4 separate regions of the Mus musculus genome follow, and regions 2, 3 and 4 are each reported to be linked to region 1. Evidence: microRNA targets listed by miRTarBase, many of them from high-throughput screens and not tested one by one. Region 1 holds a microRNA gene; each other region holds the end of a gene's coding sequence.

Region 1 (3,000 bases):
ATAAGAAAAGGGGACACCATCTTGTATGACATTTAGAATCATTCAGAACTCAAATCTACCCTTTTCACTAGATGCTACTGTGTAGACATGTCCCCTGGGAACTTCCTTGGAAAACACTGAAACAACACACACTCCTTTTAGCATAAAGTTTTACTAATAGTATGCGATCCTAAGACCAAGAAAGGTTTGGCGTTTGGGTGTTTTGTTCTGTTTTCTTGATAGGGTTCTTGGGCATCCCAAACTGACTTCAAACTCTGTAGCTGAGGCTGAGCCTTAAACCTCTGCCCCTCCTGCTTCTACCTCTTGGGATCTAGAATTTCAGGCATGTGTCCCTATGCCTAGTTAATCTGGTACACGGGATTAAGCTCAGGGCTGTGGGGATGCTGGGAAGGCATTCTGCTAATTGAGCCACATCTTGAAAAAATATATTTCGGTTAAAAAGAAGCAGAAAAAAAGTCAGTCTACTGCCCATTGCCATGAATAAACTTGGTTACATTACCTCCTAAAACTACCAAGGACCACTTCACATCTCATTTCTGGAAGCTTCTGGAATTGCCCATATCAGCCTTGAGACATGAGCACCAATCAAAGGAATATGTCTCATCTTTCCGAACCCTTTAGTCTCATAACTTTGCTGATTTTCAGATAGCTTTTTTTTTTTTAAAAAAAAACACATGGCTAGTAGCACTGTCTCTGGGGCTTGCACTATGTATAATCCTTAGCAGGAGAACAGATGATACATGCAGACTTACGCAGCATCACCACCGGACGGGCGTTCGGAGGGATCACGTGGCACGGCTTGTGTTTGAGAAGCAGTCTTCGCCTCTCCGCACTGAAGGGGATTGGCGGAGCTTCCTTTGTCCTCAGCTGACTTCTCAATGAAATGCTTCCAACTTTGCACCCTTTGGGTTCAGTTGTTCAACAGGTTACAATTAGTTAGATTAGTAACTGGTTGAACAACTGTATCCAAAGAGTACAGATTACGAGGGAGATTGGCCAGCGGTGTTCAGCCCGGCTCAGTCTGTCCTCTTCAGTGTGTGCAAGAATGATGTCAAACAAGACGCATACATTCAAGAGAAAGGTGTTAAATATCCATTGAACATCTAGTATTAGCAGAGTACCATGACAGACAGGAGAGACAGAGAGGGAGAGAAAGAGACAGAAATAGAAAAAGAGGCTGCCCTACATAATAGAAATTTAATACATGGCCTCTGGCTGAGAGAAACTTTAACAAGGAAAAATATTTCAAGGAATGTGAAGGAGGTAACCTTCACATTTTACAGTTTCCATTAGAGTGAATATGCAGTCACTGCCAACACCATAAGACACAGGTCCGGGCTTTTACCTTTATTTAGTCAGGCACACAGCATCGTGCAGAGGACATATACACAGGAGCAGACCAGGAAGCGCCGAAGCCCTGCTTCATTAAGCTGAAAGCAGAAGGCTCTCGTCTCTCCAAGGGATTCGCCTCTGCTCAATATTTATTTAGATTCTTGGGGAATCCCAATCTTTCTTAGTGCCTGTCTGTAATAATTTCTCTACTCCTTGATTTTTTTTTTTAAATTTCTGCCAAAGACAGGCTTCTGTACCATGTCGCGTAGCTGATTTTACCGTGTAAATTTGGAGGCTCTGTTTAAGTCCACTAGCGTTGAGCAATAAGCTGAACACTCTCCAGCAGTGGAATGGGTGGATGTAAGCAGCAAAGAGCGCAGCCATTTTCAGGGAATTAACTTAGTCAATGGATTTCTGTGACACAAGTGTTGAATTCAATAAAACTAACTGGTGGGTACTTTTCTGTTTTTCAAGAACCTGATTCCCTACCCCGAGCCCCAGCTTTACCATATAAAAATATTAGTACATTTAACTCTGTATGTTCTTGAATGGCATGCAGTACCTCTGCAGCCTGGACTTCAGGTCAACCATGATATAGGCATAAAAAAGTCCTACCTCAACTTTCATGGGAGGTGGGGGAAAAAATGAAACTTGGCCACTTGAACATATTATGTTGGACATATGCATGTCTGTTTTGACGAGAATTAGTAGAGTTTTCTAAGGTGCCACAGGGCTGACTACTTCACTCATTTACCTATAGATATTAGTGAAAGCTGTTTAAACCCAGGCTTCCCTTATTTACAAATGGCAGCATTCACACCACAGCTATCGAGAGTCAACATATAAAGAGCTGGGAAAGTTTTCCCACTTGCCAGTGTAAACTGGCTGCACTTTGAGCACAGCTGTTTCTGCATGAGATTTTTCTCTTGGTGGGATTTTGTATTGACTGTGCTCCTGTGGCATGAATACAGTCAATGAAAGATTGTTTGGGGGCTTGATAAGAAAAGAGGCCAGAAACAATTGCTCCCACGGGCCCTACCCTTCCTTAATAACCAACTGCTGTCTGGAGTCCTGCAAAAACCCATCATCCATCATATCAGTTGCATACAAAGGGTCTAGGACTTTCTTGCCCTGCTCTTTAGCCTGAGAAAGACACAGACCCATCTGGAAGGCATTTTTTAAGATAAAACTGACAGTAAGGAGCTAGGTCTCAGCTGTAAACATTAGACATATTGCCCACACTTCTCGATTTCCACTCACCATTGAGAGTTGGTTTTCCTGAACTGAGTTCTCTAAAAAGAGAACACAAGATATTTTGTCTCCTGGGCTAGCTATATATATGTTTGCACAGTTTGCCTTCTGTCTTATAACACTGCTAATAAAATTAGATGCTTTTTTTTCCATTTTTTATTAGGTATTTAGCTCATTTACATTTCCAATGCTATACCAAAAGTCCCCCATACCCACCTACCCCCACTCCCCTACCCACCCACTCCCCCTTTTTGGCCCTGGCGTTCCCCTGTACTGGGGCATATAAAGTTTGCGTGTCCAATGGGCCTCTCTTTTCAGTGATGGCCGACTAGGCCATCTTTTGATACATATGCAGCTAGAGTCAAGAGCTCCGGGGTACTGGTTAGTTCATAATGTTGTTCCACCTATAGGGTTGCA
Region 2 (3,186 bases), not on the chromosome of region 1:
TGTCTCCATGCCACATCTCAACCCAGAGGTCTTGGTCCGAACACTGGGCAGGGAAGAGCCAGGCTGTCCCAGTGGCTCAGGATCCCGTAGGAAGTGCTTCTCCTTGGGCAGAGGTGGGGGCTCCGTTGTATTGTAGCTGAAGGTTATTTGGGGTTCCTACCAGAATGGGAGACCTGACCTGCCTCCTCTAAGATTTTTGTCTCACTGGGTGGCCACTGTTCCCCTTCAGAGATCTGACTTTGTCCCCTTCTATATCCCAGGCTCCCTTTCCCAGGGAGGAGGTTTCATATGCCGCTCTGACTTTGGCCGGCTTGGGTCAGGAGCCTACTTATGGCAATACTGGCTGCCCCATCACCCACGTTCCCAGGACAGGCCTTGAAGAGGAGACCACAGAGTACAGCAGCATCAGGAGGCCCTTGCCTGCAGCCATGCCTTAATCTTGGTCTCTGAAGGCGGCTTGGAGCATGGATCTTTACATCTGCCTCTGTACCTGCTTCCTTACCCGGCCCAGCTGGTGACTGGAACTCTGTCCATCCGTCTCTCATGGCCATCAGCTCTACCTTGCTTGAGCTTGGAGTTCAACCTCAGGGAGTTCCAGGGAATTAAGGCTCCTTCCACATCCCCACTTATAGCCAATGTACCTTGGAAGGTACCAGGCAGGCTGCTTCAGGGATGCTGTGTAAATCGTATCAACGATGACAATAATAGCAATCAACCTTTATTTATTGTTTTTCATATGGGTTTCCCCCGCCCCTCCCCCCAGGACATTTTCATCCTCATACCCATAATCTGTAAATTATTTTATACAAAGAAAGATAAGTACATATGTGTTTAAGTTAGAGTTTTGAGATGAGTCTGTATTATCCAAGTAGGCCCAAAATATAACCACAAGGGTCTGTTTTAAGGAGGAAGAGAGAGAGAGAGAGAGTGAGAGAGAGAGAGAGAGAGAGAGAGAGAGAGAGAGAGAGAGAGAGAGAGAGAAAGAGAGAGAACAACAGAAGCAGAAGGTGGAGGGATGCAGAAGGAGTCAGGATGTTGCACATCCAGCAGCCAGCAAGGCCAAGTATCAGACTGTTCTGTTCCGTGAGCGGAGCACTGGGTGGCGATTAGGTCTGCCAGTGTCAAGGGTTGGGTGGAGTTGAATTGATTGTGTACTTTCAGAATTGTAGAAGAATAAAGTTGTATTGTTTTTATTTATTTCCTTACCTTTGGTTTTTTGAGACAGGGTCTCTACATAGCCCTGGGTGTTCTGGAACTATAGAAACTGTTCTAGACACTCTGTAGACTAGGCTGGCCTCCGGTTCACAGAGATCTACCTGCTTCTGCCCCACAAGTGCTGGGATCAAAGGTGTGCACCACCACTTCTGTCTTAGAGTATTTATAGACATCGGGCTTAGTGCCTTCGTTCTGGGGTCCTAGCGATTTTCTCCTCAGAAGATATCCTTGGTTTCATGATGATGTAGCCTAGGCAGAGCAGCCATTTCTTCTGTGCCTGGTTTCTCTTCTTCCTCCGCCCAACTTAATGCTCCTCCCAGCAACCAGCATAGTCCTTTCAAAGCTCAGAGTTGATGGCGCCTGCCTTATAACCTCCGTGGCTTCTTCCACTGCCTTTGAGGACGCAAGGAACCCATGACCCCGGCTTGCCGTGTGAACCCTAACTCCACCTACTCTCCCTTAGTACTCTTTATCCATTCCACACCAGCCTCTTCTCTTTCCTGACTAGATGTTCCAGTTTGGGTCTGACACGTCTCCCAAGGGCCAGGCACTTAAAGGCTTGATCCCCAGTCTGTGGCTATTTTGGGAGTCAGTGGAACCTCTAGAGGGCGGGGCTTAATGGTGGGGAGTGACGTCACAGGGAGTATACCTTTGAAGGCGAAATGGGAACTCTGGCCTCTCCTCTTTTCCTGGCCACTGGGAAATGAATTGCTTTTCTCTGCCACATGCACCCCACCACGATGTTCGTGCTGGCCACAAGCTCAAGGCAACGGAGTCAGGAAGCCGTGGATTAAAACCACGAGCTTATAAATTACCATCGCAATAATTTGTCAGTGCAGTGGACAGCTGACTAAGAAAGTAAAACCGTGTCCTTCTCAGGGCGGGGCACTCACTACCCCTGTATTTTTATGGTAGGTACACGAGTCATGGAGGTCAGAGGACACATGCAGGCATTAGTTTTTCTTTCCACCTCGTGGGGTTTGGACACAGAACTCCGACTGTCAGGCTTGCATAACAACGACTTCACCAGCTAAACCATCTTGCTGACCCCACGCGTGACTCTTCTATTCCTTGAGATTTTTATTTATTTTTATTTTATGTGTATGAGTGCATGCCTGATGTATGTGTCTTTGACACTGCACCACACATGTAACTGTGACAGCATCGGATCCCCGGGGACGTGAATTACAGATGGTTGTGAGCCACCATGTGGGTGCTGGGAATCAAGTCCTGGTCCTCTGGAAGAACAGCCAGTGCTTTTAACCCCTGGGCCATCTCTCTAGCTCCAAACCTGACTATTGAGTTGGCCATTTGGGCTGGTTAGTCTGGAGTGAGACTGTTTTTTTGTTTGTTTGCTTGTTTTTGTTTTTTGTTTTGTTTTTTTGTGTAAGGCACAATTTTTATTTATCATTATTATAATTCTTATCATTTTTGTTTTTCAAGATGGAATTTCTCTTTGTAGTATTGCCTGTCCTGAAACTCGCTCTATAAATCAGGCCAGCCTGGAACTTAGTTCTGCCTGCCACTGTCTCTCCAAATGCTGGGTCGCCCAGCCAAGACATGCAGTTTTGGGGGGTTGTGTTTGTTTTTATTTTAATTTAATTAACTGTATGTCCTGATCATAGCCCCCCCCTTCTCTCCACCCAGTCCCACCCTTACAAATCCTGTCCCCTTCTCTTCTCAGAGAAGGGTAAAACCTTGGGTAAAACCTGACTCTGAGGCATCTAGTCTCAGCAAGTCTAGGCACATTCTTTCCCACTGAGGAAACACGCAGTCCTCCTACCCCAGTCCATGCTGGATCCACTGGAAAGGAATAGAGACCTAGAGCCCCTGTTCCACTTGTTAGGGGACTCACATGGACACCAAGCTGCACATTTGCTACAAACGTGTAGAGGGTCTAGGTCCAGCTCCTGCATGCTCCCTGGTTGGTAGCTCAGGCTCTGTGAGTCCCAAGACAGATAGATTTTAATC
Region 3 (3,186 bases), not on the chromosome of region 1:
TGTGTACGCTGTGTACTGTTTTTGCCTAACCTGTGGATCATACCTTGTGCCAGAACAAGCCAGGTTCAGCTACCTGTCCTGGTTAAGCCAAGTAAAAGAGCCTAATTAATAGTGAAAGCAAGAGCTGGAGAGATGGCTCAGCAGTTAAGAGCATTCACTGCTCTTAAGTTTAAAAAGCATAATGACGAGGGGCTGGTGAGATGGCTCAGTGGTTAAGAGCACTGACTGCTCTTCCAAAGGTCCTGAGTTCAGTTCCCTGCAACCATATGGTGGCTCACAACCATCTATAATGAGATCTGATTCCCTCTTCTGGTATGTCTGAAGACAGCTACAGTGTACTCATATAAATAAAATAAATCTTTAAGAAAAATAAAATGCATAGTGAGAAGCAGAAGAGAGATTTATTCCATGTGCCCATATTGGGAAGAGAGAGAGAAATATATACACCCAATCATCCTAGGGTTTTGAGGAACAGGATTGAATTGTATTGTTTCAACAGGCTGATAATTAAAGGGAAAGACACAAGGGGGAGCCAGTTACACTGTATCTGTTAGAGCTCAAGTCCTGTGTCTGTTTGGTCTGTAGGGATCACCTGCTTCCACAGTGGATTCCATTGCTAGCAGAATGTCCTGCCATCACCCGAATGTATGAAGAGAATGCACTGCTTCGAGACCACATGACTGTCAACTCCCTTATCCGAATTCTTCAGACCATTCAGGATTTCACCATAGTCTTGGAAGGATCACTAATCAAAGGAGTGGATGTGTAAAGCAGCCGGCAGAAACTCTTCATCTACCCCTGGCTCCTGAAGCTTCCGTAACTATGGGGACCTATCTGGACCGGTCTGACCATAGTGAGCACTGCCGGGGCAGTGCACTGGAAGCCCCAGTTTGAACAGTCTCCACTCTGCAGACAAGGCAAAGTGCTGTATTGTAGTTCATTTGAACCTGAAATTTAGTATAAAATAGAGTATTTTCATGTGTTAGAAGTGTGTAAATATGCTATCTTTAAGAAATTATATTACTCTAATAAGATACTTTTCTTAGATTGAATATCCCTGTGACTTAAAATAAGTAGTTTAAAAATGTTGGGGGTGGGGAAAGCGGTGCTAGTCAGGAAGAAGCCAGTAAATGTGTACATAGTGCAACCCAGGAAGGCTTCTTTTTCCCTCCAGGTCTCACAAAGGAACCAGAATGCTTTGTCCTGAAGCAGCCATCCCTCCTGGAGTCCCATCCTGTGTGTGGTGAATGTATACAGCTTTACATAGTGTACAGCAGTCCTCATTGTACCTTTTAAGTTATAAACCATTTAATACATTTGAATTATGAGTAATTTTTTTAGTTTTTGGGAACGTTTTTCATTGGCATAAGGAAAAGATAATTAAAGTATTTTAAATATCAGACCCCAGCAAGGCATAGTGGCGCACTCCCAGCACTAGGGAGGCAGGGGCAGGTGCATCTGAGTTGCAGACCAGACAGAGCTACATAGCAAGACCCTATCTCAACAGAGAGAGAGAGAGAGAGAGAGAGAGAGAGAGAGAGAGAGAGAGAGAGCGCAAATACCAGATCCCAAGAGCTTGGCTAATTGGAAAGCAAACACAAGAAGCCCTGAGAAGCATGGGACTTTAACTTCTTTACTTTTGAAAGATTAGCCTGGAGGCTTCGTTCTTGGAATTTTTATTACTGTTCTTTGATAGGGCTTTTGAGATAATGAATTTTAGTATCAATCATATAGCCATAACTGTAAGAAACAGTGTGACTTTTAACTTGGCCATCTAAACTCTTTAAGTGGAGCTAAACTACCAGCCCAGTCTTTGTTAGGTTCCAGCCACTCCCTCTGTCCGCCCCATCCCCCCTCTCAGGAAATAAAAGGAATGTGGGAGAAGGAGGAGGTCTCAGTGTGATTTGGAATGCTTTTGTGAAGGTATTTGTTGACCATGATAATGCAAATAACAGAAGCTGAGAGAAAGAATGAAGCCTTTCTGGGTGTTTCAGGGAAATGTAAAGCAATTGTCCCAGAGAAGTTAAAAGCCACTGTGGCAGACTGAGGAGTGAATTTGACTCAAGAGACAATTTAGGAACTCCTGAAACCTTTCTAGTTTGATAGCTTATTTATTTTTTTGTTAAGCAAATGTTAGCAACTACATAAATCTTTATCTTTTGGTGAGTAAGTTTCGGAACTCTAATTAGGCACCGATACCTTGTTAGTAGCAAAATTGCCTCGGCAGAGCTCCAGGTTTTATTCCCTGTTGTAGCTGAAAACCCAAGCCATGGCCTCTCAGGATCCGTGTGCAATCTCAGGGCCCTGGGCTCTTGCCAGCAGTGCTGTTTTCCTGTTTACTGGAGGAAGGGACTAATAGATCAAGTACCTCATGCCCTTTATCAGAAACTCTGAAGAAAAGGGTTGCTGAGGATACATTTACACACCCATGGAAAGAAAGGGCTTAGAACATGTCTCTAGATGACCTGTGTAACCCAGTGGTTTGTTTACTTAGAATAAGGGTGTTTATAGTAGAATGAGAGTATTCTAGAGACCAATCTACTTACTATAGGAAACATCCACAAATTAAGATACAGTCCATCCCAGGGTTTTATTGCTGTCTTTTCCCATGGGGCCATCCTGATGCTGAGCGCTTGGTGGACTTTTAAGTCAGTGTTCCACAGTTGAGTCCCAACAGCAAGTACAGCCTCTTCATTTTATAGGTGAAAATAGGACACTTCAAATCAAAGACTTTGTATTCTTGCCCTCTCCCCCTTGACAACACAAGGGTTAGAATTTATGCTTTTTACCACACCCGAGAGCATGAAACCAACCTCGGAGACATTCTTACTCAGGATCATTTCTTCTGTTGAATCTTCAGTCAACTGTACAGATAGGAAGCTATGTTTCTGTGATGCAGAATAATAAGGACTGAAGCTTGCCTTGCCGCGTTAGATTGTTTTGTTGTTGTTTGTGAAACAGGATCTCACTGTATATCCCTGGCTGGCCCTGGAACTTCATTTGTAGACCAGGCTCACCTGGAGAGATCTACCTCCTAAGTGAGGGATTCATGTGAGAGCCCTGCCTACCAAACTGTTCTTAATCTCTTAGGCATTACATCTGTGGTTAAAAAATGGGAGCAGAGTTGCATTCCAGCTTAAGTTTAAAACTGTTACTTAAAGTAGTACCAAAAAAACAAAAAATTAC
Region 4 (3,186 bases), not on the chromosome of region 1:
CTGGGGGCCTTGATTGGTGAGTGAGGAGAAGAAGGATGAGCTGGCTGGCTTGGGGTCACTTGGATGGGGAAGGGAAGGAAGGAAGGAGAGAGACCCTAACGGGCACCGTCTGTTGTTTCCTCTGCAGCCATGTATGAGCACAAGATCTTTGTTCAGGGCATCATGTGGGACATCAACAGCTTCGACCAGTGGGGGTGAGTTGCCGAGGAATCTCTGTTGTGCTTTTGGGTTGTCTCTGGAATGTGGCTGGCTCATCCTCCTCTTCCACCCTCCCCCGACAGAGTGGAGCTGGGGAAGCAGCTGGCCAAGAAAATTGAGCCGGAGCTGGAGGGCAGCTCTGCTGTGACCTCCCATGATTCCTCCACTAACGGACTGATCAGCTTCATCAAGCAACAGCGGGACACCAAACTAGAATAACTCCAGCCGCGGCCCTACTGACTGGTCCTCCGTGTCCCTTCTCACCATATGCACTGCATGGTCCTGCCCCTCCCTGCCCAGAGCGCACCACCGGTAGTTGGCCTGGACTACAAGGCTGTTGGGAGAAGCTGGTCTGGAACTGCCATCCACCCACTACGCACCCTCCCTGTTGAAGCTGATGGAAGGGCTTTGACGTGTCATGTTGTTCTGACCTGTATTTCACACCCCAGCTAGAATAAAGACACCTAGAGGAGGCATGGGGGCTCAGCCTCTTCAGTTTACTGAGTCAGTACTTTTATCTGTTACTTGTGGGTGACCCTGCTTATGCCTTGTTTGGTTGGCTCTTTACTTGGTGGTGGGCTGGTCCACAGTCTCGGAGGATTGATCGTTATGAGGGGACAGCTGGGTGATAGGGGCACTTGGGAGGCACAGGCAGGTCTATCTGAATTCAAGGCCAGCCTGGTCCACAAAATGAGTTCCCGGATAGCCAGGGCTACACAGAGAAACCCTGTCTACAAAAAAGGGGTTGGGTAGGGTGGGGTCAGGGATCTGCAGTTAGGTGGGCAACTTGCTCTCCAGTCACGTGTTCACCTCCTTCCCCTCCTCACCTTGGTGACGTGGAAAAAGTAATTCTGCTTCACTAGGTAGGTTTTTGCTTGCTTGTTTGTTTGTTTACCTTCGCTTTATTTTTGGTATCAAAACCTAGGAATGGGGCTGGAGAGATGGCTCAACAGTTAAGAGTACTGACTGCTCTTCCAGAGGTCCTGAGTTCAATTCCCAGCAACCACATGGTGGCTCACAACCACCTGTAATGAGATCCGATGCCCTCTTCTGGTGTGTCTGAGGACAGCTACAATGTACTCACATACATAAAATAAATAAGTCTTAAAAACAAACAAAAGAACCCAGGGATGAACTCGATTATACCCTTCAAAAGACAGTTTTAGCAGGGTGTCATTACTGTCACATTCATATCCTGGCTATCAGTGAGTCCTTGTGAGACTGAGTGACAGCCCTGTCATTCTACTTTCCACCATGTTAATTAGGCCCATTTGATGGCCAGTCAATAAAAAGACTTGGTACATGTCTTAGGGTTTTATTGCTGTGAAGAGACACCATGACCATAGCAGCTCTTGTAAAAGACAACATTTCATTGGGGCTGGCTTACAGTCCAGAGGTTTAGTCTATTATTGTCATGGCAGACCATGGTGGCACATGTGGGTAGACCTGGTGCTTGAAAAGAAGCCAAGAGTTCAACATCTTGATTCGAAGGCTGCGGAAGGTAGGCCTAGCTTGAGCAAGTTAGACCTCAAAGCTTGCCCCCACAGTGGCACACCCTTCAGCATAGCTTCACTTCCTAGTAATGCCACTCCCTTTGGGCCAAACACTCAAACAGGAGTCTACCCTGTAGACTGTACACAAACTTGGTCACTGAAGTGGGTGGTTCTGATGCTAAAGTCCTGTTCCCCAATTGGTTCTTGATTTGTCAGTAAAGAAAGCTAGAGGCCAATTGCTGGACAGAAGGTATAGGTGGACTTCCCAGGTCCCAGGAGGAAAAAAAGGCAGATAGATGCAGGGAAGGAGAAAGTGTCTTTCTGCTGTGTTTTAGAGGAAGAAGGACACAACAACCATGTGAGCTCTCAGGGGAGCCGCCAAGGATGTTTAATAGGGGCTCGGTGGGACTAGTTACTAAATTTAGGGCAGGTGGAGAGATGGTGATAATTGGTTAAGTGGATGCTTTTCCAGGCAGGAGATATCTGTGCCCAGCAATTGTGCCCAGAAGGTAAGTTGTAAAGTAACAAGCTGTGTGTCTTTATCTGAAGATTCAAGGGAAGCTCAGGGGAGGACATGTCCTGGAGCTAAAGGGGGTTAAAGCAAAAGGGAAGCAATAGTGTGTGTGTGTGTGGGGGGGGGTGTTTGGTAGCCCTTCTGGGTCCCCGGATTAAAAGGCACTTAAAACTACACTCAAACACTGAAACTTATAGAGGAGAAAGTGGGGAAAAGCCTTGAAGATATGGGCACAGGGGAAAAATTCCTGAACAGAACAGCAATGGCTTGTGCTGTAAGATCGAGAATTGACAAATGGGACCTAATGAAACTCCAAAGTTTCTGCAAGGCAAAAGACACTGTCTATAAGACAAAAAGACCACCAACAGACTGGGAAAGGATCTTTACCTATCCTAAATCAGATAGGGGACTAATATCCAACATATATAAAGAACTCAAGAAGGTGGACCTCAGAAAATCAAATAACCCCCTTAAAAAATGGGGCTCAGAACTGAACAAAGAATTCTCACCTGAGGAATACCGAATGGCAGAGAAGCACCTGAAAAAATGTTCAACATCCTTAATCATCAGGGAAATGCAAATCAAAACAACCCTGAGATTCCACCTCACACCAGTGAGAATGGCTAAGATCAAAAATTCAGGTGACAGCAGATGCTGGCGAGGATGTGGAGAAAGAGGAACACTCCTCCATTGTTGGTGGGATTGCAGGCTTGTACAACCACTCTGGAAATCAGTCTGGCGGTTCCTCAGAAAATTGGACATAGTACTACCGGAGGATCCAGCAATACCTCTCCTGGGCATATATCCAGAAGAAGCCCCAACTGGTAAGAAGGACACATGCTCCACTATGTTCATAGCAGCCTTATTTATAATAGCCAGAAACTGGAAAGAACCCAGATGCCCCTCAACAGAGGAATGGATACAGAAAATGTGGTACATCTACACAATGGAGTACTACTCAGCTATTAAAAAGAATGAATT

Evidence for each region. Region 1 holds the annotated microRNA mmu-miR-582-3p (UAACCUGUUGAACAACUGAAC, at 909-929, opposite strand). A microRNA usually pairs through its seed, bases 2 to 8, with sites in the 3' UTR of a target mRNA and lowers its output. Matches are read on the target gene's strand: a 7mer-m8 pairs with bases 2 to 8, a 7mer-A1 pairs with bases 2 to 7 and ends in A, and an 8mer does both.
Region 2: the mRNA of Cd300lf is a reported target of mmu-miR-582-3p. The part of its 3' UTR that is shown has no 7-base or 8-base seed match.
Region 3: the mRNA of Dennd5b is a reported target of mmu-miR-582-3p. The part of its 3' UTR that is shown has no 7-base or 8-base seed match.
Region 4: miRTarBase lists Gpi1 as a target of mmu-miR-582-3p. The part of its 3' UTR that is shown has no 7-base or 8-base seed match.

What each region holds. Positions count from the first base shown.
Region 1 is chr13:109,322,719-109,325,718 of GRCm38, reverse strand. It overlaps Mir582 (microRNA 582), which reads right to left and starts at 975; the gene lies at 895-975. The region is part of intron 3 of Pde4d (phosphodiesterase 4D, cAMP specific); the gene reads right to left.
Region 2 is chr11:115,114,225-115,117,410 of GRCm38, reverse strand. Cd300lf (CD300 molecule like family member F) reads left to right here. Exons shown (of 7, transcript NM_001169153.1): 7 at 261-1,197. The coding sequence ends at 437. It also overlaps a transcript of Rab37 not described here. Among named protein-coding and RNA genes, the nearest start is that of Cd300lf, 18 kb to the left of the region's middle.
Region 3 is chr6:148,991,289-148,994,474 of GRCm38, reverse strand. It overlaps Dennd5b (DENN/MADD domain containing 5B), which reads left to right. Exons shown (of 21, transcript NM_177192.3): 21 at 586-3,186. The coding sequence ends at 769. Among named protein-coding and RNA genes, the nearest start is that of Gm25539, 26 kb to the right of the region's middle.
Region 4 is chr7:34,199,645-34,202,830 of GRCm38, reverse strand. Gpi1 (glucose-6-phosphate isomerase 1) reads left to right here. Exons shown (of 18, transcript NM_008155.4): 16 at 1-16; 17 at 128-194; 18 at 282-1,504. The coding sequence ends at 417. Among named protein-coding and RNA genes, the nearest start is that of Pdcd2l, 4.6 kb to the right of the region's middle.